Linked DNA regions of Macaca fascicularis. The protein of the gene in region 6 interacts with the protein of the main gene of each other region in a biochemical or structural test. Links are inferred from orthologs where the notes say so. Each region holds a gene or a part of one and is shown on either strand. Other genes may lie near its edges. The genes, in order: HNF4A, CHD8, UBE3A, CBY1, CSNK1A1, CTNNB1 and MUC1.

Region 1 (4,967 bases), on a different chromosome or scaffold from region 6:
GCTTCTAGCAGTGGGAAGAACATGGAGATGCCTCCTCAGAGCACTCAAACACATGCTCTGACTCCCGATTTGCTCACTCATTAATTCACCCACACATTCACTCATTCTCTCACTCGTTAATTCACCCACTCTTTAATTCTTTCACCCATTTGCTCATTCACTCACTCATTAATTCACCCACCCATTCACTTATTAATTTACCCACCCATTTGCTCACTTACTCAGTAATTTACCCTCTCATTCATTCATTCACTCACTCAATTCATGCATTCAGTCAACTCACTCATTAATTCACCGTCTCTAATTCAATCACTCCTAATTCACCCACTCATTAATTCCCCCACACACTCACTCATTAATTGGTGCTCCCACTAATTCACCCACTCGTGCTCACAGGTGTCACCAAGTCCCTCCAACCTGCCCTTCCAGTCAGCAGCAGAGGACAGGCTCCCAGGCCTCCCAAGTCTCAGGCTTTCCTTCCTCTGCCCTCACTCTCTGCCTTCTACATCAAGACTTTACTTCCCCAGATTGATTGGCAGCCCTTGAAAATGTCTGCACAGAAGGCAATGAGGGCTGGAGGGAGTGAGAAGAACAGAGCGCACCATGAGCTTCAGACAGCCAGGACCAGCTGTGTAGTTTTCAGGGCCCCAACCAAAACAAAAATGCACAACCCCTTGTTCAAAAGTCATGATGGATTTTAAGTCATGATGAACCAGGCACCAGGACTTTCTAAGGGTTGGGCTGCCTGTGACTGCACTGGCGATACCCCCACCAAGCCCACTCTGAAGGTAGGAGACAGGTGGAGAGAAACGGGGATGGAAAGGGGGATACACAACAGGGAGAGGGAGGAGGAAGAGAATGGAGGTCTATGAGGCCCCATTTGGTGTGTGACTTATGCCATCTCATTTCCTTCTCAGACCACCCTTTGAGGCTGATTGTACATTTTACAGAGAAGGAAACTGAGGCTCAGAGAGAATCATTTACCCAAGGTCCCAGTTAGTAGATGGTAGGCGCCAGAATGTAAATCCAGGTATCTGCCTGCTCTGGGAGGGGGTGGGGGTGGGGGAAACAGGAGAATGTGACGGGAAAATCCGAGATGGAGTTGGCCTGGGCAGAAACACTGGGAGCTGTGGGAGATGGTGAGGGGCAGGGTGGGATCACAGGGAGCAGGAGCAGGGAATTGGAGGTGAGTCTGGCCCTCCCAAACTTCCAGTCCATTCTGCTCCCAGGGGAACCGGGAAACTGCAGGGGAATTGGAAGGGAGCTCCCAGAACAAGGATTCAGAAGATTGGCATCTGGGGCCTGGGATTTAGGTTTCTAAATCATGGGCCATGGGGCAGCCTTATCTCCGCAAGAGCATTGAGGGTAGAAGTCAATGATTTGGGAAGTTATTGAATTAGGGGATCTCGGAGGTAGGCTGTCAGTGCCTGATAGTATCAGTTAGAATTCCTGACTTGGGGTGACAATGGCTTGGAGGGGTGGGTGAGTCAAGGGTCAAATGAGTGCCCATGAGTCATGATGCCTGCCTTGTACAATTGATAACTGAACATCGGTGAGTTAGGGCCTCAACAGTTGTAATTAGCACCCCGGGTGTCAGCCAGAAACCAACAAACAGCCAAATCCCTGCAGCCCCGCCCTGCCTATCCACCGGCGGGGGACCGATTAACCATTAACCCCCACCCCTCCCCGGCAGAGCCTCCACCCCTTCACAGAGGCTAGGCCAAGACTCCCAGCAGATCTTCCCAGAGGACGGTTTGAAAGGAAGGCAGAGAGGGCACTGGGAGGAGGCAGTGGGAGGGCGGAGGGCGGGGGCCTTCCGGGTGGGCGCCCAGGGCAGGGCAGGTGGCCGCGGCGTGGAGGCAGGGAGAATGCGACTCTCCAAAACCCTCGTCGACATGGACATGGCCGACTATAGTGCTGCACTGGACCCAGCCTACACCACCCTGGAATTTGAGAATGTGCAGGTGTTGACGATGGGCAACGGTAGGTGGGGGCAGGTGTGTCAGTGGGGGCAGGTGTGCCTGGGTCCAGGAACAGATCTTTGGCACTCAACTTGGGGGTGGGAGGAGAATGATAGAAAATGGTAGGTTGGTCCTGCAGGCCAGCACAGGTGTTGCCAGGTGAAGCCCATGTGCCCAGGTGCAGTGATCACGGGCATTCCGGGGGAAGGGAGGCCTGCAAGGGCCAATTTCCAGCAAAAGTCGATCCCGGCTATTCCTCCCAGGCCCTTCCATTCCTCACTGCCTCACAGCGGCTCCGCTTGGCGCTTGGCGCAGTGACGTGATGGTGAGCTCCCCCTTGGTGCCCAGCTCCAGCAATTCAGCCCAGCACGGCCGCTTTGTGAACCCCTTGGGCCTAGGTTCAGAGAGACAGCAAGGGACATTGTATCCCTGGAGATGGTGGTTGGAGACATAACTGCATTTCTTGGTGTCTTTGGGACTTTCCTAGGGAAAATGGAGTTCTCAGGGAAGTCTTGCTAACTACAAAGCCAACTCAGCACTGTGTGTGTGGTGTGTGCGTTCGTGTGTGATGGTGAGTTTCCATGTAGGTTGTATGGGTGGGGTGATGCCTTCAGGAACACATTTGCATATGTGTGTTCATTTGTCTCTGTGTGTGAGTTCTGGGTCTATTTTCCTTTGTATTCATTGAGTGGGTCTGTGTTTGTGTCTCTAGGAGGTGCCCGTGTTGATCTTGCTTATGCATGTAAGTGACTATGTGTGTGTATGTGTGTCTGTGGATGTTGGTACATGTGTGCTGTGTGTGCGGGTCATAGAGCACATGTGTTTGTGCATGTAGACCTGTTGGAGTGCCCTGTTCTTCCTGCATCTTTATCCTGTGTGGGCGTTTTGTCGTGTGCCCATATTTGTACCTGCTGTGTACATATGCAGTCCCCCGTACTGCGGGCGGGGGTCAGCGGTCTCTGGTGTGCCCACATTTATACCTGCTGTGTACACACACAGTCCCCCGTACTGCGGGCGGGGGTCAGCGGTCTGTGGTGTGCCCATATGTGTGCCTGTGTACACACATAGTCCCCCATACTGCGGGCGGGGGTCAGCGGTCTGTGGTGTGCCCAGCGGTCTGTGGTGTGCCCATGTGTACCTGTGTACATATGCAGTCCCCCGTACTGCGGGCGGGGTCAGCGGTCTCTGGTGTGCCCGATTGCACAGACCCAAGTGCAGGACTTTGTTGCTGCCATTCACCAAGTGAGATTCACATCAGCAACATGTCTGTTTGTCTCTGAGCAGATTTTGTTGCGGGCGTGTCTCTGCAGATTTAGGCATCCCTCCGACATCTCCGGAGCATATCTGGAGGGGCGGGCAGTTCTCCTCCCCAGGGAGGTAGGGGAAAAGAGGAGGCCTGGAAACCCCTCCTGGAGGGAAGGGCGCCATCGGTCCCAGGCCAGCCTCAGAGGAGAGGGGGCAGCAGCTGGCTGAGGTCAGCCTGCCACCCCACTTCCTTGTGTGTCTTGGAGCCACACAGCCAGTATCAGGCTGTAGCTCCAGCTGAGGCCTGGAAGCTTGTGGTCAGCTCAGCTAGAGCGAGGAGGCAGCCGCTGGGCACTGCCTGTTGTCAGCTCAGCAGGTGCTCACCTGCCCCTGCTATCCAATCACTGTGTGACCTTGGGCATGTCACCTCCCCTCTCCTGGCTTCTGTATCTTCTACAAAACAGGCTTCACTCCTCCAGGCCTGCTGGCTGGCCGACTTTTAGGCCTGAGGACCATGCGAGGCGAAAACACACCAGAGATAGCAAACAAGTTGAAGCTGTACGAGGTGGAGTGTCGCATGGCCCCACGAGGACCGCTGCCCTGCCCCGGGCTGCTCCCCGACCCCATCACCTTTTCAAAGCCCAGGAACTGTGTGCTCCTGAGGCAGAGGCCAAGCCCCTGAACTGGATGTCCCAAAGACAAGATCACCTCCAGCTCTGGAACCAGAAAGATCTGGGCGCAAATCCAGCATAGATCCTTCCAACCTGTGTGAACGTGGCAAGGCAGTTTCCTCTCTGAGCCTGTTTCCTCATCTATAAAATGGGAATAAATAATAGTGTCTGCCTCCCAGCACTGGCCAGAGGATAAATAAAACAAGGTGCCTCGGTGCTTAGCCCTGGTAAAGGGCCTGGCCCCAACATGGGTTGTGTCAAGGGCTCTGAGCATCTGTAAGCAGGGTTCCCACGTTCCTCACTGGAGTTGGAAGTGGTCTGAATTGGGGTTATGTGAAGTTGTCCTCTGAAGTGTTTTGAGTACATCCTGGGCTGGTGGCTCAAAGGCTCCAAGGATATTTCTTCCCCGTCCACTCCCCACCCCAATGCAGCGGCAGCCCCAGGGGGCTCCTTGTTCATTAGAGGCCCCAGCAGACACCTCAACATGTGCGGCACTGGCCGGAGTAGCCCAGCAAGCCTGGACCATAAACCCGTGGCTCTGCTTCACAGCAAGCAGTGCGATGACATCAGAAAGCCACTTGTCCTCTCTAAGCCTCAGCGTCCTCACCTGCAGAATGGAGGTGCTCGGCTGACCTCAGAGGGGAGATGATAGAGCTGACAGCCCCCAGCCCATCCTGCCCCAGAGCTGGGAGCTACTTCCCCAGCCTCCTACTGAATGACCAGGAGCTGTGGGGTCAGTCTCCCCCGGGGTCGAGGGAGGAGAGGCCGAGGGAGAAAGGGCACCCATGTGGCTTAACAATTATCCCCATCTCCAGGAATAATTCACCAAGTCCTGGGGACACCTGGGAGTCTGTGAGGGCAGAAATGAGATGCGGCAGTGTCTGCTTGTGACAGAGCCTGGAAGTCCTCTGCTCTGAGAGTTTTCCTATGCAGAAAAGTTTTTATTTCACGAACACTGATATAGTGCTTACTATGCACCAAGCACTTCACATACACAAATGAGTATTCACCAGGTCCCCATAACAAACCTAGGGGAATATCACATTCCCCATGTTACAAATGAGGAAACAAAAGCATAGAGAAGTAAACA
Region 2 (4,183 bases), on a different chromosome or scaffold from region 6:
AGCTGACTTTTTTTTTTAAGTGGTGCAAAATCAGCAACTATGTTTTAAAAACTTTTTTTTTTTTTTTTTGAGACAGTCTTGCTCTGTCGCCCAGGCTGGAGTGCAGTGGCACAATCTCAGCTCACTGCAACCTCCACCTCCCAGGTTCAAGTGATTCTCCTGCCTCAGCCTCCTGAGTAGCTGGGACTACAGGCACATGCCACCATTCCTGGCTGATTTTTGTATTTTTGGTAGAGACAAGGTTTCACCATGTTGGGCAGGCTGGGTCTCAAACTCCTGACCTCAAATGATCTGCCCGCCTCAGCCTCCCAAAGTGCTGGGATTATAGGCATAAGCCACCATCCCCAGCATAAAAACATAATTAAATCCTAGAGATTCCAGTCTCTATCTCTGCCTTTCTAGCCTCTGGCACAGACAGAACATGCCTTGGCAAAGGTGGAACCTTTTCCTTCAGATTCAATGGTGATGGTTGTAGTTCGTCTTAACAAGATCTGGTCGATGTCCTCTTCACAAAACTTGGAGCCTTCATCATCTTCCTCCATGATGGCTGCATATGCTCCTTTTCTTAAAAGATCTTCAATCTCCTTCTTAGAGAACTGTTGGATCTGTAAAAACCAATAGAAAGATGAAAAGACTATCAACAGAATAATATCTAACCATGCCATAATATTTTATCTATTACATTTTAAGAAATAATAATTAAGAATCCAAATAAGGTAGTCAAATCCCTGTGTAAAAACAGCTTTTGTTTTCCTCTATCACAATGACTCACTACAAACTCATCTATAAACTAAGAAGACTCACTCCAGTAATGTTGCCATCCCGACCACTCATGGATTGAAGCACAGCTTTATCCAATCCCAACTTGAGGCTAGCCTTATCAAACATCTCTCTCTCGTAGGAATTACGAGTGATGAGGCGGTACACCTTCACAGCTTTGCTCTGCCCAATTCGATGACATCGTGCCTGGGCCTGGTTTAAAATAAAAATGAAAGGAAAGAAGAAAGATACCATAAAATTAGCAGGGGAAAGGATACAAAATACCGATTTATGACTCTTTCACCTCTATAGAGCAGCCATGAGATAAACTCAAAACCAAGAGTCAATTTCAAGATGAAATTATCACCATATTATGTAGACCAGGTGTCAGCACACTAAAGTCTGCGTGGACATCTGTTTTTATAAATAAAGTTCAATGGGGACACAGGTGGGACCACCCATTCATTTACATATTATCTATGGCTGTTTCTGTGCTACAGGATTTGGAGGTGAGCAGTTTCAACAGAGAATCGATGGCTCACAAAGCCTAAAACATTTACTATCTTGTCCTTTACAGAAAACGTTTGCTGATTCCCTGAACTAACTGCCACCCTTAACTAAGGAAACAATTCCAAACTCTCTGAAAGTCCTTTCTAAAAGATCCCATTCTTGTTGAAAAATCTCCCAAGTTAGGTAGTTACTCCCTAAGACAATGAATTCCTTTACCTGCAGGTCATTTTGTGGATTCCAGTCTGAATCAAAGATGATGCAGGTATCAGCAGCTGTAAGATTAATACCAAGTCCACCAGCCCGGGTACACAGTAAGAAGACAAAGCGGTCTGAGTCAGGTTTGCTGAAGCGGTCAATGGCAGCCTGTCGAAGGTTTCCTCTAACTCGCCCATCAATGCGTTCATATAAGTACCTGTTCACAGAAAAAAAAATATAAGTGGCTAAGCAGAAGTGGAGACCGAAACAGCAGGCTAGGATCAATACCAGTACTCCCATATCAAAGCTGGTCAAAAACCCAAGTTGAGAGTGAGAATCTTAAAAACTCCTGTTATTGCAATTCGTCAACTCTAATTAAACTCAGGCCCTCCTACTTTTTGCTGCTTTATGAGGACAGAGTAACCACAGGCTAGGATGACCCTTTTCTTACCTCCTCTGGATTAAATAATCCTCTAGGATGTCTAGGCAGCGTACCATCTGAGAGAAGATCAGAACTTTATGGCCACCAGCTTTAAGTTTTGGAAGTAACTTGTCAATAAGAACCAGTTTGCCAGCTGAACGCACCATGGCCTGCAGATGAAAGTCATGAGGTATAATATGGCAAGCTTCACGGAATTCTGTTAGGATTTTTTCTTCAGCACCTGCCAAAAGAAAAATCAAGTTAAATTGAGATCCAGTGAGCCATATTAAGGTTGTAGTCTATTTAATCAAGAAAGCAAAGGGAAAAAAATATAATTTAACTTTAGACCAACGTTTCTCACACACAGAATTTCAGCACCAAAAGATCTTAAATCGGCTGGGTATGGTGGCTCACGCCTGTAATCCCAACACTTTGGGAGGCCGAGGCAGGTGGATGGATCACTTGAGGTCAGGAGTTCGAGACCAGTCTGGTCAACATGGTGAAACCCCGTCACTACTAAAAATACAAAAATTAGCTAGGTGTGGTGGCAGAGGCCTGTAGTTCCAGCTACTCAGGAGGCTGAGGCAGGAGAATCGCTTGAATCCGGGAGGTGGTGTTTGCAGTGAGCTTAGATCGCACCACTGCACTCCAGCCTGGGCGACAAAGCAAGACTCTGTGTTTAAAAAAAAAAAAATCAGTTGGTCTCGGTGGTTCACGCCTGTAATCCCAGCACTTTGGGAGGCTGAGGCAGGTAGATCACCTGATGTCAAGAGTTCGAGACCAGCCTGCCCCATGTGGCGAAACCCTGTCTCTACTAAAAATACAAAAAATTAGCCAGGCGTGGTAGTGGGCGCCTGTAATCCCTGTTACTTGGGAGGCTGAGGCAGGAGAATTGCTTGAACCCGGGAGGCAGAGGTTGCAGTGAGCCGAGATCACACCACTGCACTCCAGCCTGGGTGACAAGAGTGAAACTCCATCTCAAAAAAAAAATAAAAATAAAAATAAAAAATTTAAATCATCCTTCGTTGTGTCATACAAAATATGCCAAGTAAGGCAGGCCTATGATAATTGGGTAAAAAAAGATGTAAATATGTGGACAAGGACTAAGATGGAACACACTACCAGCACCCAAAAAAGAGACAGAAACAGCAAAATGGAGGGTGGATGAGGACATTTATCCAAGGAACACAGTAACTTGAGATTTTTTTTTTTTTGAGACAGGGCTAGCTTCAAACTCATGCGCTCAAGTAATCCTCCTGCCTCAGCCTCCTAAGTAGCTGGGACTATAGGTACATGCCACTGTGTGGCTAACCTGAGTTTTTATTCATGAAATTCTAAACAGCAAATACTATTTAATTTTGGAGATTATGCAGGATCAAAGGGGTAGAAAGAACTAGAGGAAAAACATTCCAAATAAGAATTGTTTATATTTACTTTATTTGGAGACAGGGTCTCACTCTGTTGCCCAGGCTGGAGTGCAGTGGTGCGATCTCAGCTCACTACAACCTCTGCCTTCTGGGTTCAAGCGATCCTCCAAGCTCAGTCTCCTAAGTAGCTGGAACCACAGATGCCTGCCATCACACCTGGCTAATTTTTGTATTTTTTGTAGAGGTGGGGTTTCATCATGTTGCCCAGGCTTAGAATCTCTTTTTAAAAAGGGGAACCATTTCCCATTCCTCAGTCCCCACCCCAAATTAGGTTGGATGAGTCAATGCATTCACTGTCCCCAAGGAGTATCATCTAGAAAGTAAACACAGGTACTCAGAAGTTCAGGTATATACCAAGAATTCCCTCACCATTGATGAGATATGGGTGGTTGCAGCACTTGCGCAACTCCATCATTGTGTTAAGTAGATTAGGCATGTTGGTATGACCTGCCCCTTTGGAAAGGAAGGAGAAATTCTTCTCCAAAATAGCCCGATAGTATTTCTTCTGGATGTTAGTCAGCTCTACTTCAATAATAGTTTCCTGTTTGGGTGCCAAGTTTTTTTCAACATCCTCTTTGAGTCTTCTCAGCATCATTGGCTTAAGAATGGCCTGTAGCTTTTGAACCTGTAGTCCATTACAGACAGAAAAAGAAATCAATAATATGAGGGCAAACATTCTCACATTATGTAGAAACATGGAAAAATTACAGTTTTCCATTATCTAAGAAATGTATACTTTGGATGATGCCACAAATGATGTAGGCACAAGGTTATAAGGAGTTCAGAAAGGCCCTTGAGATACCCATGACAACAGATGTCTGCCTTGTACAAACTTCATCTTTTTTGTCCTGAGTTAGTACCTCATCAGATA
Region 3 (3,713 bases), on a different chromosome or scaffold from region 6:
GACTAGGAAAATTAAAGATGATTATAGCCAAAAATGGCCCAGACACAGAAAGGTAATGATTAAGTGGTGACTCTATACCTACTGAAAACCTTGCATTCCTCATCACACACATATGAACTGTCTTTATAGTTTCTAAGCACCTTTGTGATTTTATGTACAAATCCTGAAATCATATTAGACAATTGAGAAAATATTTTGCTGTCATTGTGTGAGGAAACTTTTAAGGAATTGCCCTAGTTAAAAATTATTATGGGACTCACATTGGTTTGGAATTTTTCAAATTAGTATGATTCATTTACTTTTTTGATTCCCAGCTTGTTAGTTGAAAGCCATGTTACATGATAATCTATTTAGAATGGTTACATTGAGGCTTGGAAGATTATCATTCGATTATGCTAGAATCCCGTTATCAAATCATTTTCATAGTCATATTGCCAGCAGTATTTCTAATAAGCATTTAAGAGCACACAGTTTGAAATGTTGTAAACCAGGTTTGAATATTTTCTCCACCTTAGAGGAAGTTACTTCTCAGTGACCTAACCTCTGAAGTGCATTTATTGATGTCCTCTCTGTGGTTTTGTTGTGGAAAAAGATTTAGTGAAATGAACTGTAATAATTAAATACCTAAAACGGTATCTGGTATGTAGTAAAAACTCAATGGATAAGTATCTTATCATCATTGTTACTAGCTTTGAGTAATTTATAGGATAAAGACAAACTGATTCTTGGTAGTTACACAACAAAAAGTTTATGATTTGCATTAATGTATAGTTGGCATTGCAAACCATCTCAACTATATATAATTCTAAGTGTATTTCCCATGACTTATTATTTTCCTGTTTTTTCCCCTTTTCTCTATTTAGGTTACCTACATCTCATACTTGCTTTAATGTGCTTTTACTTCCGGAATATTCAAGCAAAGAAAAACTTAAAGAGAGATTGTTGAAGGCCATCACGTATGCCAAAGGATTTGGCATGCTGTAAAACAAAACAAAATAAAACAAAAAAAAGGAAGAAAAAAAAAAAAGAAAAAATTTAAAAAATTTTAAAAATATAACAAGAGGGATAAATGTTTGGTGGTGATAGTGTCCCAGTACAAAAAGGCTGTAAGATAGTGAACCACAGTAGTCACCTCTGTCTGTGCCTCCCTTCTTTCTTGGGGACATGTGGGCTGGAACAGCAGATTTCAGCTACATATATGAACAAATCCTTTATTATTATTATAATTATTTTTTTGCGTGAAAGTGTTACATATTCTTTCACTTGTATGTACAGAGAGGTTTTTCTGAATATTTATTTTAAGGGTTAAATCACTTTTGCTTGTGTTTATTACTGCTTGAGGTTGAGCCTTTTGAGTATTTAAAAAATATATACCAACAGAACTACTCTCCCAAGAAAAATATTGCCACCATTTGTAGACCATGTAACCTTCAAGTATGTGCTACTTTTTTGTCCCTGTATCTAACTCAAATCAGGAACTGTATTTTTTTTTAATGATTTGCTTTTGAAACTTGAAGTCTTTGAAACAGTGTGATGCAATTACTGCTGTTCTAGCCCCCAAAGAGTTTTCTGTGCAAAATCTTGAGAATCAATAAAGATGGAAGGGAGAAATTGGAATGTTTTAACTGCAGCCCTCAGAACTTTAGTAACAGCACAACAAATTAAAAAAACAACTCATGCCACAGTATGTTGTCTTCATGTGTCTTGCAATGAACTGTTTCAGTAGCCAATCCTCTTAGTATATGAAAGGACAGGGATTTTTGTTCTTGTTGTTCTTGTTATTTTAAGTTTACTGGGGAAAGTGCATTTGGCCAAATGAAATGGTAGTCAAGCCTATTGCAACAAAGTTAGGAAGTTTGTTGTTTATTATAAACAAAAAGCATGTGAAAGTGCACTTAAGATAGAGTTTTTATTAATTACTTATTACCTAGATTTTAAATAGACAATCCAAAGTCTCCCCTTCGTGTTGCCATCATCTTGTTGAATCAGCCATTTTATCGAGGCACGTGATCAGTGTTGCAACATAATGAAAAAGATGGCTACTGTGCCTTGTGTTACTTAATCATACAGTAAGCTGACCTGGAAATGAATGAAACTATTACTCCTAAGAATTACATTGTATAGCCCCACAGGTTAAATTTAATTCAAAACATGTTAAACATTACTTTCATGTACTATGGAAAAGTACAAGTAGGTTTACATTACTGGATTTTCGGAAGTAAGTAGTTTCCCCTTTCCTAGTCTTCTGTGTATGTGATGTTAATTTCTTTTATTGCATTATAAAATAAAAGGATTATGTATTTTTAACTAAGGTGAGACATTGATATATCCTTTTGCTACAAGCTATAGCTAATGTGCTGAGCTTGTGCCTTGGTGATTGTTTTAACTGATTACTGTAGATCAACCTGATGATTTGTTTGAAATTGGCAGGAAAAATGCAGCTTTCAAATCATTGGGGGGAGAAAAAGGATGTCTTTCAGGATTATTTTAATTTTTTCATAATTGAGACAGAACTGTTATGTACCATAATGCTAAATAAAACTGTGGCACTTTTCACCATAATTTAGTGGAAAAAGAAGACAATGCTTTCCATATTGTGATAAGGTAACATGGGGTTTTTCTGGGCCAGCCTTTAGAACACTGTTAAGGTACGTACGCTACCTTGATGAAAGGGACCTTCGTGCAACTGTAGTCATCTTAAAGGCTTCTCATCCACTGTGCTTCTTAATGTGTAATTAAAGTGAGGAGAAATTAAATACTCTGAGGGCGTTTTATATAATAAATTCGTGAAGAAATGTGTGCTCTTCAGTTCTCAAGTTTTATTATTACGGTACTGAAGTTCTATGATTTTGTAATAATGTATCCATATGACAAATTTTAAAGTGATAATTGAAATAGGTTATCAGATACAGAATTCACATCAAGTAGACTTCTAACAGAGTCACAATGAACCTACCCTTAAAATTTTAGAGGGAAAAAATCATCAGTTGCACAGACTAGCTGCTCTAGCTTGCTTAATTATGCTAGGCATGTTGTCACTCCCCTTACTTTTGCTGCATGGAATGTCCCTGAACAATAAGGAAGAGGAAAACATAGAAGTTTTGACGATAGTGGATACTTCCTCTACCCCAAATGTTATGTTATAAAAGTACTTTTTTGCCCAGGTACTCTATTGTATAGTTTGGTTTTCTTTGAATTAGACCTCAATCTCCAGGAAGCTCTGGAGGGAAAAAAAGGAACCATAAACTAAAGTAACTGGTTTTCCAAATAAATGCTAACTTTTTTTAACTTTCATTGTAGAACATTTCAAACATAAAACATGAAAACAGCCTGCAGCCAAACTTTTCTGGACCTTGGCAGCTCCAGCAAATGAGCTGGTCATCCTAACCTTGGTTTCCTGAGATAACTACTTTTGGGGATGCTTGCTTGTATAGGGAGATCCATATCAAAAAGAAACTTGAAAATGAGGCTTCAAACAGACCTTGCTGTTATTCATCCCTCCTCGGTACAGACATTCTGTTAGAACAGATGGTTGTAATGGGGCAGCATCACTCCCTGTTCCCATTAAAAACATGACCCTTCTGAGATTCCAGGCCCCTTTGAGGAATTTCCCCAAGAATTCCATACAAACTGTCAGAGAAAGAAATGTCGTCCCAAGACCAGTTCCTGTGTACTCTTGATCCCTTTACCTGCTTACCGCAATTTTTTTTTCT
Region 4 (4,630 bases), on a different chromosome or scaffold from region 6:
TTTTGTATTTTTAGTAGAGACGGGGTTTCACCATGTTAGCCAGGATAGTCTCGATCTCCTGACCTCGTGATCCACCCGCCTCGGCCTCCCAAAGTGCTGGGATTACAGGCTTGAGCCACCGCGCCCGGCCCAGGCTGGTCTTGAATTCCTGACCTCGTGATCCACCCATCTCGGCTTCCCAAAGTGCTGGGATTACAGGCGTGAGCCACTGCGCCCAGCCCAATTTACTATTATTTCTTAATGATTAGTGTTCGTATTCTATTTTTAAAATGTTTGCCTACCCCAGGCTGGGTATGGTGGCTCATGCCTATAAATCCTAGCACTTTGGGAGGCAGAAGCAGGCAGATCACTTGAGTCCAGGAGTTCAAGACCATCCTGGGCAACATGGCAAACAAAACCCTGTCTCTACCAAAGATACAAAAAATTAGCTGGGCGTGGTGGTGTGCGCCTGTGGAGGCACATGGGAGGGACTACTCAGGAGGCAGAGGTGGGAGGATTGCTTGCACCCAGGAGCCAGAGGTTGCAGTGAGCTGAGATTATGACACTGCACTCCAGCTTGGGTGACAGAGTGAGACTCCATCTCAAAAAAAAAATTCGGGCCAGGCACGGTGGCTCAAGCCTGTAATCCCAGCACTTTGGGAGGCCGAGACGGGCGGATCACGAGGTCAGGAGATCGAGACCAGCCTAGCTAACACGGTGAAACCCCGTCTCTACTAAAAATACAAAAAACTAGCCGGGCGAGGTGGCGGACGCCTGTAGTCCCAGCTATTTGGGAGGCTGAGGCAGGAGAGTGGCGTAAAACCTGGGAGGCAGAGCTTGTAGTGAGCTGAGATCCGGCCACTGCACTTCAGCCTGGGTGACAGAGCGAGACTCTGTCTCAAAAAAAAAAAAAAAAAAAAAAAAAAAATTCGTTATAAAGATGCATTTTCATTCATCATATTGGCAAAAATTAAAAAGATGAATAATACCCATGGTTGATGAGGATGTGAAGAAAAAGACACTGTTATTACTGGTAGAATCAGAAGATGCTATAATTCTTTCAAGGTCACTCAAATAAAACTTGGCAAAATTGTAAATGTGTACACTTTTTGGACAGCAAATCTACTTCTAAAATATTACACTCTAGAAAGACTTGGACATGCTCACACCCAGTGTTCTCTAGTGTTGATAACAGTAAAAAAATAAGAAACAATCCAAACAATTTGGGTGTAGCCAAATAATTTGTGGCACATTATTATTATAAAATTGTAGGCCTAAGCTGGGCGCGGTGGCTCACACCTGTAATCCCAACTACTTGAAAGGCTGAGGCAGGAGAATCGCTTGAACCAAGAAGGTGGAGGTGGCAGTAAACCAAGATCGCGCCACTGCTCTCTAGCCTGGGTGACAGAGCAAGACCCCATCTCAAAGGAAAAAAAAAAAGAAAAGAAATAAAGATCTAGAAGGATACACCAAATTGCTCATAGTGGTTAAACCTGAAAAAGGGAATAGGATGACTGGCTTGAATGAAATTGTCATTTTATAGATCAAAAAAAGGTCAAATTGTGACAATTTCATATGGTACAATATAAAATTATATTAAATATACTCGAGATTTAATGAATTATTACAATGAGAATATATTCATGTATTATGAACAAAATAAACAAAACACAGTTAAAAAGCAGCCCCCCGCCACCGGGCGCGGTGGCTCACGCCTGTAATCCCAACACTTTGGGAGGCCGAGACCGGCGGATCACGAGGTCAGGAGATTGAGACCATCCTGGCTAACACGGTGAAACCCCGTCTCTACTAAAAATACAAAAAATTAGCCGGGTGCGGTGGCGGGTGCCTGTAGTCCCAGCTACTCGGGAGGCTGAGGCAGGAGAATAGCGTGAACCCGGGAGGCGGAGCTTGCAGTGAACCGAGATTGCGCCACTGCACTCCAGCGAGACTCCATCTCAAAAAAAAAAAAAAAAAAAAAAAAAAAAAAAAAAAAGCAGCCCCCAGCACTCATAGCACCTAGAGACATTTGAAGAAGGAGAAATAAGCCAAGTCCCCACTGACGCTAATTGCACTGGGCCTGAGCACATGGGCTGGACACAACCAGGTTTCGGGCCTGACTCTGCCCCTCAGTTGCTTGCTAGACCTTGGTCCAGCTGCTTTACTTCTCGGGCTTTAACTGGGGTACTTCACTCATGACCGCACTAATTCTCATAACACTACAGCTGGGAACTGTCATCTATATATTACAGATGAGGAAGGGTCTGGATTAGCTACCTTTTAAGTCAGATCTAATAATCCACAAACAGCTCGGCTGAGATCCTGGGATTCTGGGGCATCCGCGTGCACTTGAGGTACAAGCTGTTCCCTTGGCCGATGGCGACCTTCTTTCTAGTGAAACTCCGGGGGGCGAGCGTGCTCGGCACAAAGGAAGTGAAGGGGGAGCACCTGGCTTCCAATGATCACTCTGCTGCTCACCCACAGTGCGACCCCAGCATTTATCCTCCTTGGGCTTCGGCTTCTTTCTTTGCAATGAGGAATAATAATAGTACCTGGCTCACAAGATGTTATAGTGTTTTAGTGTTTATAAGAAGCTGTGCACTTGATCCTCACAACGACCCTGGGAAGAGGATCAAGTAAGTGGGGCCTCCCCAATCCACAGATACTGATCACTAATCATTGTGTAAAGGTTTTCTGTTTGCAACAGGCCATGAAATATATTATCTTACTTTAATTCTAAGAAAACAAGGGAGGAACCTTTGGCTTTCATCGGATTCTCAAAAGTATACGTGTCCCCCAAGGAGTTCAGAGCTAGCCATGTTACGCAGGTGCACGGCCCCCAGGGCTGTCGGACTCAAGTAACAGCTGTCAACAAACGTTCACACGCACGATCTCATGCAATCACCTTCACGGCGACCTACGGGGAGGAATTACCGCCCCAATTCACAACTGCGGAGACACACAGAGGAGGGCGGCCACCGCCCGGGGTCGCCAGGCCTCCGCCCCCTTCCCCGCGCCCTCCCGACGCCTCTCTCCAGGCGAGGCCCGGGCGTCCCACCCAGCTCGGGCCCCCACGTGAACCCAGGCCGTGCTGGCCGGCGACGCCGGACTCGGAGACGTACCTGACGCGTCCCAGAAGCCAGGGTCCAAGCGCTCCCCGAAACCCCCTATCAGGGACTCTGTAGTACAGATATACCTTGACCCACCCGCCTCCTGCCGCCAGCCCGCCACGCGCATGCGCCACCCCGCCCGGCCTCTACCACCGAGGAAAGGGGGCACCGGCGCGGGGGTTCCCAGCGCCAGCCTGCGCGAATCCCCAGAAACTCCGTGAATCACCTCGGGATAGTAAACGGATTATACAAAGGCAGTGTCTTCCGGGGTCCTTTTCGTGCCTCCCATTACAGGCTAGGACCACGACCTGCACTCACCCTCCCCACAGACACATTGGTCTGGGCCCCCGGCGGGGCTGTCACCATGGAAACGGCGTCTAGCGGACAACGCGGCGGCTCACGACGCTTCCATTGTTATGGGAAACGCGAAAGTGGTGACCGCGCCGGCGTTGCCTGGAGAACGCCTGGAGTCAGAGTAGCAAAATGGGCCTCTCCCCAACTCCCCTCCTCCTCCCTCAGCACAAGGCAAAGGGCACCCCTTGCTGTGAGTTTGGGGCACCGAGTGTCGGGGGCCCACCCAGAACTTTGCGGGATCCACTGAGGGACCCGTGGCGGGACCGGCCCCGGGTGCGTCAAATTCCGCCGATGCTTTCAGGTAAGATGGACGGACAGACGCACCATGACCCACCCCTGGCAGTCTGCCCCCTCTCCATGCCCTTATGGCGGCTTCTACAAGCAAGGGAAGCCGAGGCCCAGGGATTACTTAAAAGTCGCACTGTGAGCAACGGACAGAGAACTACTGGACGATCAACTCCAGGCCTCCTAGAGTCCTAACAGCGTGTTATTGGTTCCATCTCATAAGTGAAGAAACTTAGGTCGTTCAAGGAGTTTACCGGCTGCCTAGTGGGTGTACCAAGGCATCCATCTAGTGAAGGGCAGGACCCAGGGGTCTTTGGCTCCAAGCGCAGTTCTCTTCCGACTATACCACCCTGCATTAAAAGAGGGGAGACTTCCATGTCCTAGAACTAAAATCTTCACAGTCTGGCTCAGCATTGTACAATAGAAACATAAAGCAGGCCACATATGTGATTTGGAATTCTCTAGTAGCCTCATTTTTTTAAAAGTTAAAAAAAAAAAAAGCCAAGTGAAATTAATTTGAGTAATGTTTTAACTCCATTTGTCTAAAACATTACTATTTCAAGATATAATCAGTATTTCTAAATTTATACTGCTTCCATTTCAAATTTTATTTATTTATTTATTTTTAAGACGGAATTTCACTCTGTTGTACAGGCTGGGGTGCAGTGGCGTAATCTCGGTCTCTCGGGTTCAAGCGATTCTGCTGTCTTAACCTCTCGAGTAGCTGGGATTACAGGCGCCCGCCACCACTCCCAGCTAATTTTTTGTATTTTTAGTAGAGACGGGGGTTTCACCATGTTGGCTAGGCTGGTCTCGAACTCCTGACCTCAGGTGATCTGCTTGACTCAGCTTCCCAAAGTGCTGGTATTACAGGTGCAAGCCACTGCACCCAGCCAAAATTT
Region 5 (4,908 bases), on a different chromosome or scaffold from region 6:
ACTCCAGCCTGGGCAACAGAGTAAGACTTCGTTTCAAAAGAAAAAAACCTGGGCACGGTTGCTCATGCCTGTAATCCCAGCACTTGGGGAGGCCGAGGCAGGTGGATCACCTGAGGTCAGGGGTTCGAGTACAGCCTGGCCAACATGGTGAAACTAAAATACAAAAATTAGCTGGGTGTGGTGGCGGGCGCCTGTAATCCCAGCTACTCAGGAGGCTGAGGCACTAGAATCGCTTGAACCCAGGAGGCAGAGGTTGCAGTGAGCCAAGATCGTGCCATTCACTGCACTCCAGCCTGATCGACAAGAGCGAAAACTCAGTCTCAAAAAAAAAAAAAGAGAGTCTCCAGCAAACAGTAAACACCATTCTCACCTATTCTGAATATTTTTGCAAAAGGTATTTTAGATTGTTGCTGAAAAATAGCTTGGTTTTAAACTATATTTTAGTCTCCATTCCATGAAGAGGCTCTTTAATCCCAAAAGTTAAAACATTACTCTAAAACCCTCCAAAGTAAAGTTAACCATTTGACAGAACAATGTCTTTCTATCTCGTCATCTTTTATCCGCGTTACTGCAATTTGCACTCACCAATATTCCACACCAACAAAGGCCGCAATTTCTCTGATATTAAGATTTACTGCCAAACTCAACAGGTTAAAATTACTTATCAAAGTGTGGCTAAGTGATTAAGATTTCTTTTAATACAATTGATTTGAGTAAATTTTAACATAGTTGGTGCTGCTCAAACTGCCTTTGCCATTACCTATACAAATTTAGTCCCGACTGAAATGTGCCAAATATGACCATTCACGAAAGGAAAGAGTAATTAACACTTTTAAAAGAACCACAAAGGATTTTACATAGTATAATTCAACAATTTCATGTCACATCTGCTGCAGAGATCACAAACATTGTCACTATGCCATCTCCTTCCTCGAACCCCCACACCGCCTCCTGCAGCTTTATTCTTGGCTTTTCAAAGGTTTAATCCACTCGGGGCTGCTAAAGGAGGAATCAAGGAAGCATAATTTGTGAACCCAAGCTGAGAAAAGGGCAGGAATATGGGGTTGAGTCACGTCGTTCCGCCATTTTCTAAGCGGAGGAGGAAGACATGTTGGAACAAAAACACAACAAAAGAGCAGCCATTTCCCAAGCCAGCTCCAATAGCAACTCGAACTGACACCGCCGGGTCGCTTCAGCACCTTCAAATCCACTTCACTGGACAAACCTAAGAACATCAGACGTGCCGCCGTAAAAAAGGCAGCAGCCAACCCTTCCGCGTAGGGATCAAAGATGACCCGCACGCATAACTGCAAACGAAAGCCTCGGGAAGAGAATGACGGAAGCGAAATGGAGCAGTGTAATACAATGAAATAAGTTGGCAAATTGAAATTTACTCAGTGATTGCGATGACTTACAGGAAGGCACCAGCTACAAGGAACCCAGGTAACCAAAACAAGACCCGGATTCAGCTGGTCTCATTACCTGCCTCTACCCACTTCCCCATTCCGTGCTTCCCTCAGCGGATCGCCTACATGCACGGGGTTCTTACCGTATGTGGGGGATGCCAACCCCACCTTGAAGAATCTTATAGAGCTTGCTCTCGTACAGCAACTGGGGATGCCTGGCCTTCTGAGATTCTAGCTTCACTGCCACTTCCTGCAGGGGAAAGAGGGGATGATGGCATCAACATCCCTACGGATTCAGTGTCATTTAGGAAAGGAGAGAGACATTAGCAAAACTCCAAGTCGCGACTACAAGGAAGAAGTGAAAAGCTGGAAAGAGAAAGCTCTCTGTAATTATAAAACGAGGCAACCAGCCTCAAAGGCCTCTTCAGGGGGTAGTGACGAAATCGTACGTCCTCTAAAGTGCAGGAAAATGATTCATCCAGAAAAAAGAGGCAACCTCTGAACGTAGTGAGAGGTTTTTAAGGAACTAGGCGATCGGAAACTGTTCTAATTGGAACAAGAGGCCCAGCAGGATTAAAAATTAAATAAAAGAAAAGAAAAGCAAAGCATGGGAATCACAGAAAGAGGATTTTGCCGTTTCCACCTTAAAAGTCGGTTAAAAAAAAAACAGCTCGACCAAGGGACATTTATGGGAAGTGTTTAACAAGCTGGGAAACTAGTTCCCCCACCCTTTTCTATCGGGTTCTTGACCCTTTTAGGGAGAGAGCGGGCGAGGATCGCAAGCCAGGAAAACTAGCTCCCTGGACTCCCTGGCGAGTGCGTGCGGTGAGGAGAGGCCCGAGCACTTTGGGGGTGCGCGGTGGTGGTGGGGGGAATGAGGAAAAGCGCAGCGTTATCGTGAACCCCACCCCAGGTGATTACCTCGCCGTTGGTGATGTTGATCGCCAGATAGATGTCCCCGAAGGAGCCAGACCCGATCTTCCGTACCAGTTTATATTTCCCTCCGACAATGAATTCGGCCTTAGAGCCGCTGCTACTCGCCATCCTGAGAGACGAAGATGGAGTCTGGGGCCAAGCCCCGACACCTCTGGGAAGACGACGGAGGCCTCTGGGGCTCCTACACTGGGCAAGGCTACGGAGGAAGGCGGCAGGAAACAGAACACGGAGGCCTTTACCGGCGTTCGGGGCCCAGAATCAGCCGAGGGGAACCTGATCACCGCCGCTCAGTCAGGTTTCTTTTTGCCAGGCCGCAGTTTGTGAAGGGCTTCTCGCGGTTACCAGGCTGGGCCACTTGTTTCTCGGCGGCCGCCGCTGCCTCGCTTGCGCGGCGACGTCGCGGGCTGGAAAAGGGGCGCGGTGAGCTAGGGCGGCGATACAGCTACCACCACTGCCGCCGGCTCCGGCCCTGAGGGACCCCTGTCACTCCGCCGACGCCGCCATCTTGTTACTCCAGCTCCAGCCAACACAAAATGCCCCCAGTCCCCGGGAGCCGCTTCTTCACGGCGCAGAGCACTCTGGGAAAGGGATCTGGGGCGCTCGCTCCGAAGGATCGGCAGCTAGAGGGCGGAACCGGATCCGTGAGAGTCGCGGCCCACGCTCCGAGCGTCACCCTGTCACCGCCCAGTAGCGCATGAGCGCTGCAACTCCTGCTGACTGCGCAGGCGTGCCGCGGCCTGCCTCACCCCGCCCCGGGCTTTCTTCCACTTCCGGTCGGCGGCGGCTCAGCCGGTGTTACCTGTTACTCGCCTCGGACCCGCAGGGTCTCTGGAAGGCTGAGTGGCCCCAGGCCTCGATGTTGGGAGGAGTCACCTTCATGTTTCGTGTCAGGCCTCCTTAGGAGTTGGGTATTGACCTTTGCTCTTTGAGGCGGTTTTTAACCTTTGATCTTTCTTCTGGCCGCTCCCCAGGACCGGCCTATTCCAACCCAGTTTCTGTTTGGAAAGAGGCTATCGCCTCTGGTGGAGAGGAAGAGAAAAGCAGCCCGCGTTGAGGAATCGTTCAGGGCTCTCGGTTATAGCAAAACCTAGCTAATTACCCTTCATAATTAGAATTTTCTTCTCTACTACGGAGTGTTATAGACCCTCTTTCCACAGGAGGGGAAAAAAGAAAGAAGCCGGAATCCCCCTGCCGTCCTACGTCTTTGCATTATTGCCTCACTACCACTTTTGATCTTCAGAAGAAAACCCAGTATCTTGTTCATAGTGAAGATTAGGGATAGATGGAATCAACAGAAAATTAATTTAACAAGAGTGAAAAAACTGTTATGCCCCCCAACCCCACCAAAACAACAACAAAGAATCGTATGTTGGTCATGTTGAAAACCGCAGTATTAACCTGAACAGAGTAGAGGTAACTATTACAAAATTTAATTGACAACATTTAAAGCTACACGGAAATTTTTTTCTTTTTTACTAAAAATCGATCAGAGAATCAAATCTTGACCACGTTTTGTATTACAAAATTTGACCTGGGAAAATTGGGTTGAGTAATAGTAATGTTCACAAAAGAAAGCTCCATGGTTTATGCTATCATCTTAAGTCAGACCTCAGTCGTAAACATTTAAGCTAAGCCTATCTTAAATAAAATTTAATTAAAATAGAAATGAGGGCTGGGCGCAGTGGCTCACGCCTGTAATCCCACCACTTTGGGAGGCCGGGGCGGGCAGATGACTTGAGGTCAGTTGTTCGAGACCAGCCTGGCCAACATGGCGAAACCCCGTATCTACTAAAAATACAAAAATTAGCTGGGTGTGATGACGTACACTTGTAACCCCAGCTACTCGGAAGCGGAGGTTGCGGTGAGACTAGATCACGCTACTGCACTCCAGCCTGGGCAACAGAGAGACCCTCTCTCAAAAAAATAATTAAATAGAAATGAGAGAAAAATGTGAAGAATTTTAACTGCAACTTTGAAAGGTGATCAAGTAATTAAGGTTAGTAATAGGGTTCATCTCGGAAGATAACTGAAGAGAGAGGGGAAGAGACTTCCCCTAAAGTTTAGCATGAAGTTTTAAGGCACAACCAACACCCAGGGTGCCCAACTCCCAAATCACCACTATTAGACATCGTTCGCCTTTGGTGACTCTAAAGCATGTTTTGACTAAGTTAAAATCTGCTGTTAAATTCTGGTCTAAAACGCAGCCGGGTGCAGTGACTCACACCTGTAATCCCAGCACTTTGGGAGGCCAGAGGCGAGTGGATCACCTGAGGTCAGGAGTTCGAGACCATTCTGGCCAACATGGTGAAACCCCGTCTCTACTAAAAATACAAAAACTAGCTGCGCATGGTAGCGTCTGCCTGTAGTCCCAGCTACTCAGGAGGCTGAGGCAGGAGAATCGCTTGAACCCGGGAGGCGGAGGTTGCAGTGAGCCGAGATGGTGCCCCTGCACCCCAGCCTGGAGACAGAGCAAAACTCCGTCTAAAAATTAATTAGTTAATTCTGGTCTTAAAAAAAAAAAAAAGCCAAGTTTAAGCATCTTGAATTTTCCAGAGATCACTCCTCT
Region 6 (4,183 bases):
ATTACCCTGTACCTAAAAGTTAAAACAAAACAAAAAACACTGCTCATGAGCATCTACTAATAAAGCAATCACTTTATTACATAAAACTGTACTGTATTAGAATTTGTCATTTCTCCTATAAATTCACAGGTCTGTTAGCAAATCTTAGGTTTACTCAAAACTGAAATTACAAACAAATTTTATTAAGCAAAATATATGCCATCATTGATGGATAATAAGAACTCTATCTAAACTAGCCTTAAATATTTAGCTACAATCCAGATGACAGGTACTTGAATGTAATCTTGGCTGCAAATTGAATAGGACCATCTATTTTCAGTCGTTAAAGTTCTACCACCTTTTCCTAAGAAAAGTAATCTAATTAGAACTGCAGATGCTGTACACAAGACTCAGAATAGATACATATACTTACCAGCTTCTACAATAGCTGGCTTATTACTAGAGCAGACGGATAGCACCTTCAGCACTCTGCTTGTGGTCCACAGTAGTTTCTCATAAGTATAGGTCCTCATTATATTTACTAAAGCTTGGGGTCCACCACTAGCCAGTATGATCAGCTAGAAAGATATATACATATCTTGTTAGTCATGGAATCTTGATCACATGTCTGAGAAGAGCCATATTACCAACATATTTTATTATACAAGAATTTCAGCCAGCTTGTCATTGGACCTAAATGTATCCCTGGACCCCATCACTCTGACCCCCATACTGGGGCCCTATCCAACTTGTCCTTTTAAAGCATTCCACTCAAATTCAGACATCCCAGTCCTCCCAAGAATGTATCAGTTTTGGCCCAATTTCCTTCTTCCCATACTGATCATAGCAGAAGAAAAAAATTTAGAAACCATGTTGGCAGGCAAGATTAATGCCCTAAGATGAAAGTTATATCAAAACTGATTCACTGAAAATTTGAACCAGAACTGGCACTTAAAACTCCTTATCACTTGGCCCTTTAATTTTCCTAATTATATCCACCTTAAAAAGAGATACCATAAAATGATCATTCACTCTTGTCCTTTCATCCCCTGTGTATCTTCCCTTTCAACACTGCCCCAATTTTCTAAAAACAAATTTCATCATTTCATGCTTCTGCTGAAATTTCCCATTGTGCTTTTAAACATGCTGTACAAAGCCCTATGAGATCTGCTGAGTCTATCTCAATAGCCTCACCTCAAACCTTTCTTCCTCTTTACTGTTAGTATTTCTTAAATTCCCAAAACTTTCCATCTCCTTCCTTCGTTTCAAAGATGCTGTTTCTCACCTAACCTTCACCTAGTGAATCCCTTCTCATCCTTGAACACTGAACTCAACTATCACTTCCTCCAAGAGGTACCTCCTTGAACCCTCATAAAGAGTCTGTTTCACTTGTGTAATGTGCTCTCATAGCCCCCACTTCTTCCCACTACATGAATTAAATATTAGGTTATTATTCCCAACATCTACATCCCACCTAATTACAAAAGTGTGAAGAGAAGCTTGCCTATGATATCCCTATTACTTTGCATAGTGCTTTACATATGGAAACTCAAAAATTTAAAAGAACAGAAATGAACTGGGCTGCACAGCAGGAGGTAAGTGGCAGGTGAGCGAGCATTACCTGGCTTGAGCTCTACCTCCTGTCAGATCAACTGCAGCATGAGAACCTCATAGGAGCGGAAACCCTAGTGTGGACTGCACATGCGAGGGATCTAGGCTGCACGCTCCCTATGAGAATCTAATGCCTGACTATCTGAGGTGGAACAGTGTCATCCAGAAACCATTCCCACAACCCATTCATGGAAAAACTGTTTTCCACGAAACTGATCCCTGGTGCCAAAAAGGTTAGGAACACTGCATGGAATGACATGACACTGGAAGTGTCCGATGCTCCATGAAAACCACATAAAGAAGAATTCTCTTACCTTGCTTTCTTGGTTGCCATATGCTAAAATTTGAAGGCAGTCTGTCGTAATAGCCAAGAATTTAACGTTTGTTTTGTTGAGCAAGGCAACCATTTTCTGTAGCCCGCCAGCTAAACGCACTGCCATTTTAGCTCCTTCTTGATGTAATAAAAGGTTGTGGAGAGTTGTAATGGCATAAAACAACACAGAATCCACTGGTGAACTGGGAAGAAGAAAAAAGCCTCATCAGAACTATTGTGACTATACTCTTCTACTTTTTAGCTTCAAGCATTCTGACAATGTTTTCTTACCCAAGCATTTTCACCAGGGCAGGAATGCCTCCAGACTTAAAGATGGCCAACAAGCCCTCCCGATGATGGGAAAGGTTATGCAAGGTCCCAGCGGTACAACGAGCTGTTTCTACATCATTTGTATTCTGCATGGTACGTACAATAGCAGACACCATCTGAGGAGAACGCATGATAGCGTGTCTGGAAGCTTCCTTTTTAGAAAGCTGATGGACCATAACTGCAGCCTTATTAACCACCACCTATAATACAAGAATCAGAAACATCATTAGTTTTCAAGTCCTGGTAGTGGGTAGACATTCTGAACCTACTCCCCTTGAGCATTTACTTCAAAGCAGACTAAAAAGCTAGCCATGTCATTGCTCACCTGGTCCTCATCATTTAGCAGTTTTGTCAGTTCAGGGATTGCACGTGTGGCAAGTTCTGCATCATCTTGATAGTTAATCAAGTTTACAACTGCATGTTTCAGCATCTGTGATGGTTCAGCCAAACGCTGGACATTAGTGGGATGAGCAGCATCAAACTGTGTAGATGGGATCTGCATGCCCTCATCTAATGTCTCAGGGAACATAGCAGCTCGTACCCTCTGAGCTCGAGTCATTGCATACTGTCCATCAATATCTGGAAAAGGTTAATCAACACTCACTATCCACAGTTCAGCATTTACCTAAGTATTTGCTATCCTAAATGGTAAAAGTGGCATTGCTATTACTCCCTTTTCTTCACCACAACATTTTATTTCAACTATTATATACTAACTTTTTAGTTCTCAAAACTGCATTCTGACTTTCAGTAAGGCAATGAAAAATACTCTTACCAGCTACTTGTTCTTGAGTGAAGGACTGAGAAAATCCCTGTTCCCACTCATACAGGACTTGGGAGGTATCCACATCCTCTTCCTCAGGATTGCCTTTACCACTCAGAGAAGGAGCTGTGGTAGTGGCACCAGAATGGATTCCAGAGTCCAGGTAAGACTGTTGCTGCCAGTGACTAACAGCCGCTTTTCTGTCTGGTTCCATGGCCATGTCCAACTCCATCAAATCAGCTATAAATATGAAATAGTATTAGCATTAGTAGATTGGAAATGTTACTTTAATTAAAAAAAAAAAAAGAATCTGTGATATGACCCATTGAAATATTTTTAGAAATAAAGTCAAATCTGAAAGACAGCCAAGAAAAGCAGAATGATAGCCAGGGTTAGCTCAGTGATGAAATACCTAATCCCTTAGGGGACCACCTAACAGTTACTCACTGAATCAGTGGAAGAATGGTACTGCATCCAGGCTCCAGAAGCAGTCATCCAGACTAGATTCCTGCTGGTGGCTTGTTTGCTATTTCACCAAGCCATTAGGAGGAGTGAGCAGAAAATGGAGCAAAAGGTAGCCTGACAAGTAAGCAGGGAGAGAGGAAAGCAGGGGAATCTCAGCCAGACTGGCTTAATGGCAACGAAGCAGAGCCCCAATTCAGTAACTAAAGATTTATGACACAAACCTTGAGTAGCCATTGTCCACGCTGGATTTTCAAAACAGTTGTATGGTATACTTCAAATACCCTAAAAAAAGTTAATCAAAAGTCATTAGGATTTAAATTTAGCTTGATTAATACTCCTAAGTCACTGGGATATCTGTTAAATGTCACTATTACACCCACAAAAAAAACCCCATATACTCTTTTACCAGGTTATTTGGTGAAACACAAGACCTCATGGTCTCCTCCAGACACCTCAACCACAGCTCCATCACTGCTGAACTTCAGTGAAAACTCCTCCTTACCAAATACATCTTTTTATTAATAGTAGAAATATAAATTACAGATAATCAGGATGGTGATGAGAAAGCAAAGAGTTGTAATAATAAAAGCCAGGGAGGGGAAAACACTATTCAAAAATCAGCTGCTCTCTGAATTCCAAAAGGTCTCTCGTGTTTTTAACCTTTCACGGAAAAATTCACAGATCCCCTTTGGATAACAGAGGTACAGTGGGATTTTAAAAAC
Region 7 (2,777 bases), on a different chromosome or scaffold from region 6:
CCCGCACCCACGCCAATGTGCCAAGTCTCCCTTGGGGACCCAGCTGAGTCTGGGTGTTCCCATTGGGTTCGGCCAGGCAAGGCCTCTGGTGCCCACTGCTGTCCTCCTGCAGTGGGCTCTGCTAGGCCTGTGCTGAGCAACAGCTGTTATTGTCATGGTTTATAAATAATAAACTGTGATGCCAGGCACATCTCTGCTTTCCCTGAGCACAATCATTCCTGTTAGTTTCTGTGCTGGGTGTGGTGGGCGGGAGGGGGCAGGGTGCTAGGCTGTGGTTCTGGGCAGGGGCAACCAATGGATCTGGTGCCTGAGGGAGGAAGGCCCCAGGCTAGGCGCTCTAAGCCTCCTGCCACACGTGTCCTGACCCCACCTGAGCCCACCACAGCTGCCAGGAGACATAGCTCTCTGGCTGCTGGCAGCAGGCCCCAACCAGGGCATCCGGGCCTGCCCTGCAGCACCAGGCCCTGGGGGAATGCGGTTGAGGGGACAGGCAATGTGCCTGGGCCCAAAGGGATCAGGGAACCAGAACCACTTCCCCATTCTCAGGGTGTTGTGGAGCCCACCCCAGGGGCAGCAGGCTGGTGGGGCAGCCGGGGTCAGGGAGGGGGCTGGGCCTGGTGCCAGCACCTGGATCTGACCCAGCCTCCGCTTATCTCAACCCTGTTGACTCTGGGCTGTTAATCACTGCCCAAGGATTTACTTCACACCCGGACAGCTAAGAATAGAGCCACCTGGGGGCACTGTGCCAGGGGGCAAGGAGGGCGTGGGCCAGGCGAAGAGGGGGAGAGCCACTGGCACACAGAGCCCAGTCACGGAGCCCAGTCATGCCAGCCCTCCAAAACCCGCCTGGGTTTCGTTTCCTCCTTCCGCTTGTGCTGCCAGGGTTAGCCAGAGGTGGCTCCTCAGGCCACCCCTATACCCCAACGTCACCTCCTCCTCACATCTCCTGCTTCTCAAACAAACCTGCTCCTTACTGCCTCCTGGCCTCCCTGTCTCCTCCCCCAGGCCTCTCACACACATTCTGACCGCCCTGCTGCCCACGGGCCACAGATGAAAGATCAGAAGTTGGCGCAGCGGGAGGCCACGTTTTATTCAGTCCTGTTCAGGTCCCCTGCTATCTCCGGGCTCTCTGGGCCAGTCCTCCTGGGAGCCCCACTGCAACACTTCCCAGGCATAAGCCCTCAAGGGCCCCCATGAGCTTCCACAGACCGAGAAGGTTCTGAGAACTTGGTGGGGCCTCTGAGGAAGGCTGTGAGCAGCCCACCTGAACTCCCAGCTCACCAGCCCAAAACAGGGTGCAGGGGCTCTGGCCCTGAAGAACCTGAGTGGGGTGGACTGGCACTGGCTGGCCACTCAGCTCAGTAGGCGACGTGCCCCTACAAGTTGGCAGAAGTGGCTGCCACTGCTGGGTTTGTGTAAGAGAGGCTGCTGCCACCATTACCTGCAGAAACCTAGGTGGAAGGAAAAGAGATCCAGGGTGAGAAGCAGAAGGTACCTCCTAGAGCCCCTGGATGCCACCCCAGGCTGGGGTAATCAGTCCAGAGTCCTGGCCAGCTCTCAAAGGGCTTATTCAGAGAGAGCACCTGCCACCCCACCAGCCAGTAACTGTAAACAGGGCTGCCCTCCTCCCTCTGCTCTCCTTCACTTCCTCTTCTTGGCTCTAATCAGCCGCCTTGTCCCCCTATTCTCTGCTGTTCCAGTCAAAGAAGGTGTGTAGGTGTGTGTGTGTGTGTGCATATGTGTGTGTGTGTGTGTGTGTATCTGTGTCTTTGTAAAACCGAGAGAGGGAGGTCTCCAGGACGAGGAAAATAGGAGCAAGAAAAATAAACTCCTCTCTCCTCCCCAACCTGGAGTGGTTTTCCAGCCTCAGGTGGCTGCAGTAATTATTTACTAGGTCCCACAGAGAAAAGCCAGGAGAGGAAGGAGGGAGGGTTCCTTACTTCCTTGAAGCTCCCAAGAACCCAACTGGCACCCAGGCTCACCTGGTCTGCTGACACTTCTTCCTCTACCTGGGAAACCTCCCCCTACACCAGCCTTTCTCGGTCTACCCTCTATTCCTAGGAGATGATCAGGGGCACAGGGGTTCCCCCCTGTGACTCCTCAGGAAGGGCTCCCCTGGGCATAGTGCTCTACCCATTTTGCCTCTGGGTGCAAACAAAACAAAACAAAACAAAACTGCTGTGGTGGCACCAGTTCAGCCAGGGCCAGCCAGCATGAATGTGGACAGCCAATGCTCTTTTAGGAATTCTGGTAGTGGGGCCACTCCCTCTTGAGGGCCCCTTTCTTTCATGGTCTCCTCCCAGGCCTGTCCCCCAGAACTCCTCTGACCTCTGCGCCCCCATCCTTGCCAGGTCCTCCTCTGCTCACTTCATGCCACTTCTCACCTCTTCCAAGCTCTTTGGGTTTTCCAAGTACCCCCTTCAGAACCCTTGCCCAGCCAAAGCCTCTGCCTCCCCCGGCCTGTGGGGCCCAATCTCACCTCCTCATAGGGGCTACGATTGGTACCACCAGCGGGCACATAGCGCCCATGGGTGTGGTAGGTGGGGTACTCGCTCATAGGATGGTAGGCATCCCGGGCGGGAAAGATGTCCAGCTGCCTGTAGTTCTTTTGGCGGCACTGACAGACAGCCTGGGGAAATAGGAGGTTATGGCAGACCATGGAGTGCTTTCTGTCGGCGGGGGGGTGGGCACTGATCAGGGCCAGGGACTGCACTCACCAAGGCAATGAAATAGACGATGGCCAGCACAACCAGAACACAGACCAGCACCAGGAGCGC

The links.
Region 1: the proteins of CTNNB1 (region 6) and HNF4A form a complex in vitro, tested with the Homo sapiens proteins (2 studies listed by BioGRID). The link is inferred for Macaca fascicularis from reciprocal best matches to the Homo sapiens genes CTNNB1 and HNF4A.
Region 2: the proteins of CTNNB1 (region 6) and CHD8 form a complex in vitro, tested with the Homo sapiens proteins (3 studies listed by BioGRID). The link is inferred for Macaca fascicularis from reciprocal best matches to the Homo sapiens genes CTNNB1 and CHD8.
Region 3: of the proteins of CTNNB1 (region 6) and UBE3A, one has a biochemical effect on the other in vitro, tested with the Homo sapiens proteins (3 studies listed by BioGRID). The link is inferred for Macaca fascicularis from reciprocal best matches to the Homo sapiens genes CTNNB1 and UBE3A.
Region 4: the proteins of CTNNB1 (region 6) and CBY1 form a complex in vitro, tested with the Homo sapiens proteins (2 studies listed by BioGRID and IntAct). The link is inferred for Macaca fascicularis from reciprocal best matches to the Homo sapiens genes CTNNB1 and CBY1.
Region 5: of the proteins of CTNNB1 (region 6) and CSNK1A1, one has a biochemical effect on the other in vitro, tested with the Homo sapiens proteins (2 studies listed by BioGRID). The link is inferred for Macaca fascicularis from reciprocal best matches to the Homo sapiens genes CTNNB1 and CSNK1A1.
Region 7: the proteins of CTNNB1 (region 6) and MUC1 form a complex in vitro, tested with the Homo sapiens proteins (5 studies listed by BioGRID). The link is inferred for Macaca fascicularis from reciprocal best matches to the Homo sapiens genes CTNNB1 and MUC1.

What each region holds. Positions count from the first base shown.
Region 1 is NC_088384.1:100,475,148-100,480,114, forward strand, and holds the start of HNF4A (hepatocyte nuclear factor 4-alpha), read left to right. Parts: upstream 1-1,744; 5' UTR 1,745-1,868; coding exon 1,869-1,983; intron 1,984-2,106; exon of another isoform or gene 2,107-2,286; intron 2,287-4,967. UniProt on the Homo sapiens protein: Transcriptional regulator which controls the expression of hepatic genes during the transition of endodermal cells to hepatic progenitor cells, facilitating the recruitment of RNA pol II to the promoters of target genes. Activates the transcription of CYP2C38.
Region 2 is NC_088381.1:89,079,662-89,083,844, forward strand, and holds part of CHD8 (chromodomain-helicase-DNA-binding protein 8), read right to left. Parts: intron 3,938-4,183; coding exon 3,682-3,937; intron 2,127-3,681; coding exon 1,916-2,126; intron 1,682-1,915; coding exon 1,486-1,681; intron 973-1,485; coding exon 805-972; intron 606-804; coding exon 426-605; intron 1-425. UniProt on the Homo sapiens protein: ATP-dependent chromatin-remodeling factor, it slides nucleosomes along DNA; nucleosome sliding requires ATP. Acts as a transcription repressor by remodeling chromatin structure and recruiting histone H1 to target genes.
Region 3 is NC_088381.1:3,748,274-3,751,986, forward strand, and holds the end of UBE3A (ubiquitin-protein ligase E3A), read left to right. Parts: coding exon 1-52; intron 53-863; coding exon 864-984; 3' UTR 985-2,795; downstream 2,796-3,713. UniProt on the Homo sapiens protein: E3 ubiquitin-protein ligase which accepts ubiquitin from an E2 ubiquitin-conjugating enzyme in the form of a thioester and transfers it to its substrates.
Region 4 is NC_088384.1:12,994,976-12,999,605, forward strand, and holds the start of CBY1 (protein chibby homolog 1), read right to left. Parts: upstream 3,219-4,630; 5' UTR 3,217-3,218; coding exon 3,102-3,216; intron 2,897-3,101; exon of another isoform or gene 2,257-2,896; intron 1-2,256. UniProt on the Homo sapiens protein: Inhibits the Wnt/Wingless pathway by binding to CTNNB1/beta-catenin and inhibiting beta-catenin-mediated transcriptional activation through competition with TCF/LEF transcription factors.
Region 5 is NC_088380.1:156,431,195-156,436,102, forward strand, and holds the start of CSNK1A1 (casein kinase I), read right to left. Parts: upstream 2,923-4,908; 5' UTR 2,451-2,922; coding exon 2,328-2,450; intron 1,657-2,327; coding exon 1,550-1,656; intron 1-1,549.
Region 6 is NC_088376.1:104,069,641-104,073,823, reverse strand, and holds part of CTNNB1 (catenin beta-1), read right to left. Parts: intron 3,744-4,183; 5' UTR 3,696-3,743; coding exon 3,683-3,695; intron 3,576-3,682; exon of another isoform or gene 3,444-3,575; intron 3,237-3,443; coding exon 3,009-3,236; intron 2,813-3,008; coding exon 2,559-2,812; intron 2,434-2,558; coding exon 2,195-2,433; intron 2,107-2,194; coding exon 1,905-2,106; intron 558-1,904; coding exon 413-557; intron 1-412. UniProt on the Homo sapiens protein: Key downstream component of the canonical Wnt signaling pathway.
Region 7 is NC_088375.1:105,954,501-105,957,277, reverse strand, and holds the end of MUC1 (mucin-1), read right to left. Parts: coding exon 2,718-2,777; intron 2,630-2,717; coding exon 2,480-2,629; intron 1,452-2,479; coding exon 1,377-1,451; 3' UTR 1,066-1,376; downstream 1-1,065. UniProt on the Homo sapiens protein: The alpha subunit has cell adhesive properties. Can act both as an adhesion and an anti-adhesion protein. May provide a protective layer on epithelial cells against bacterial and enzyme attack.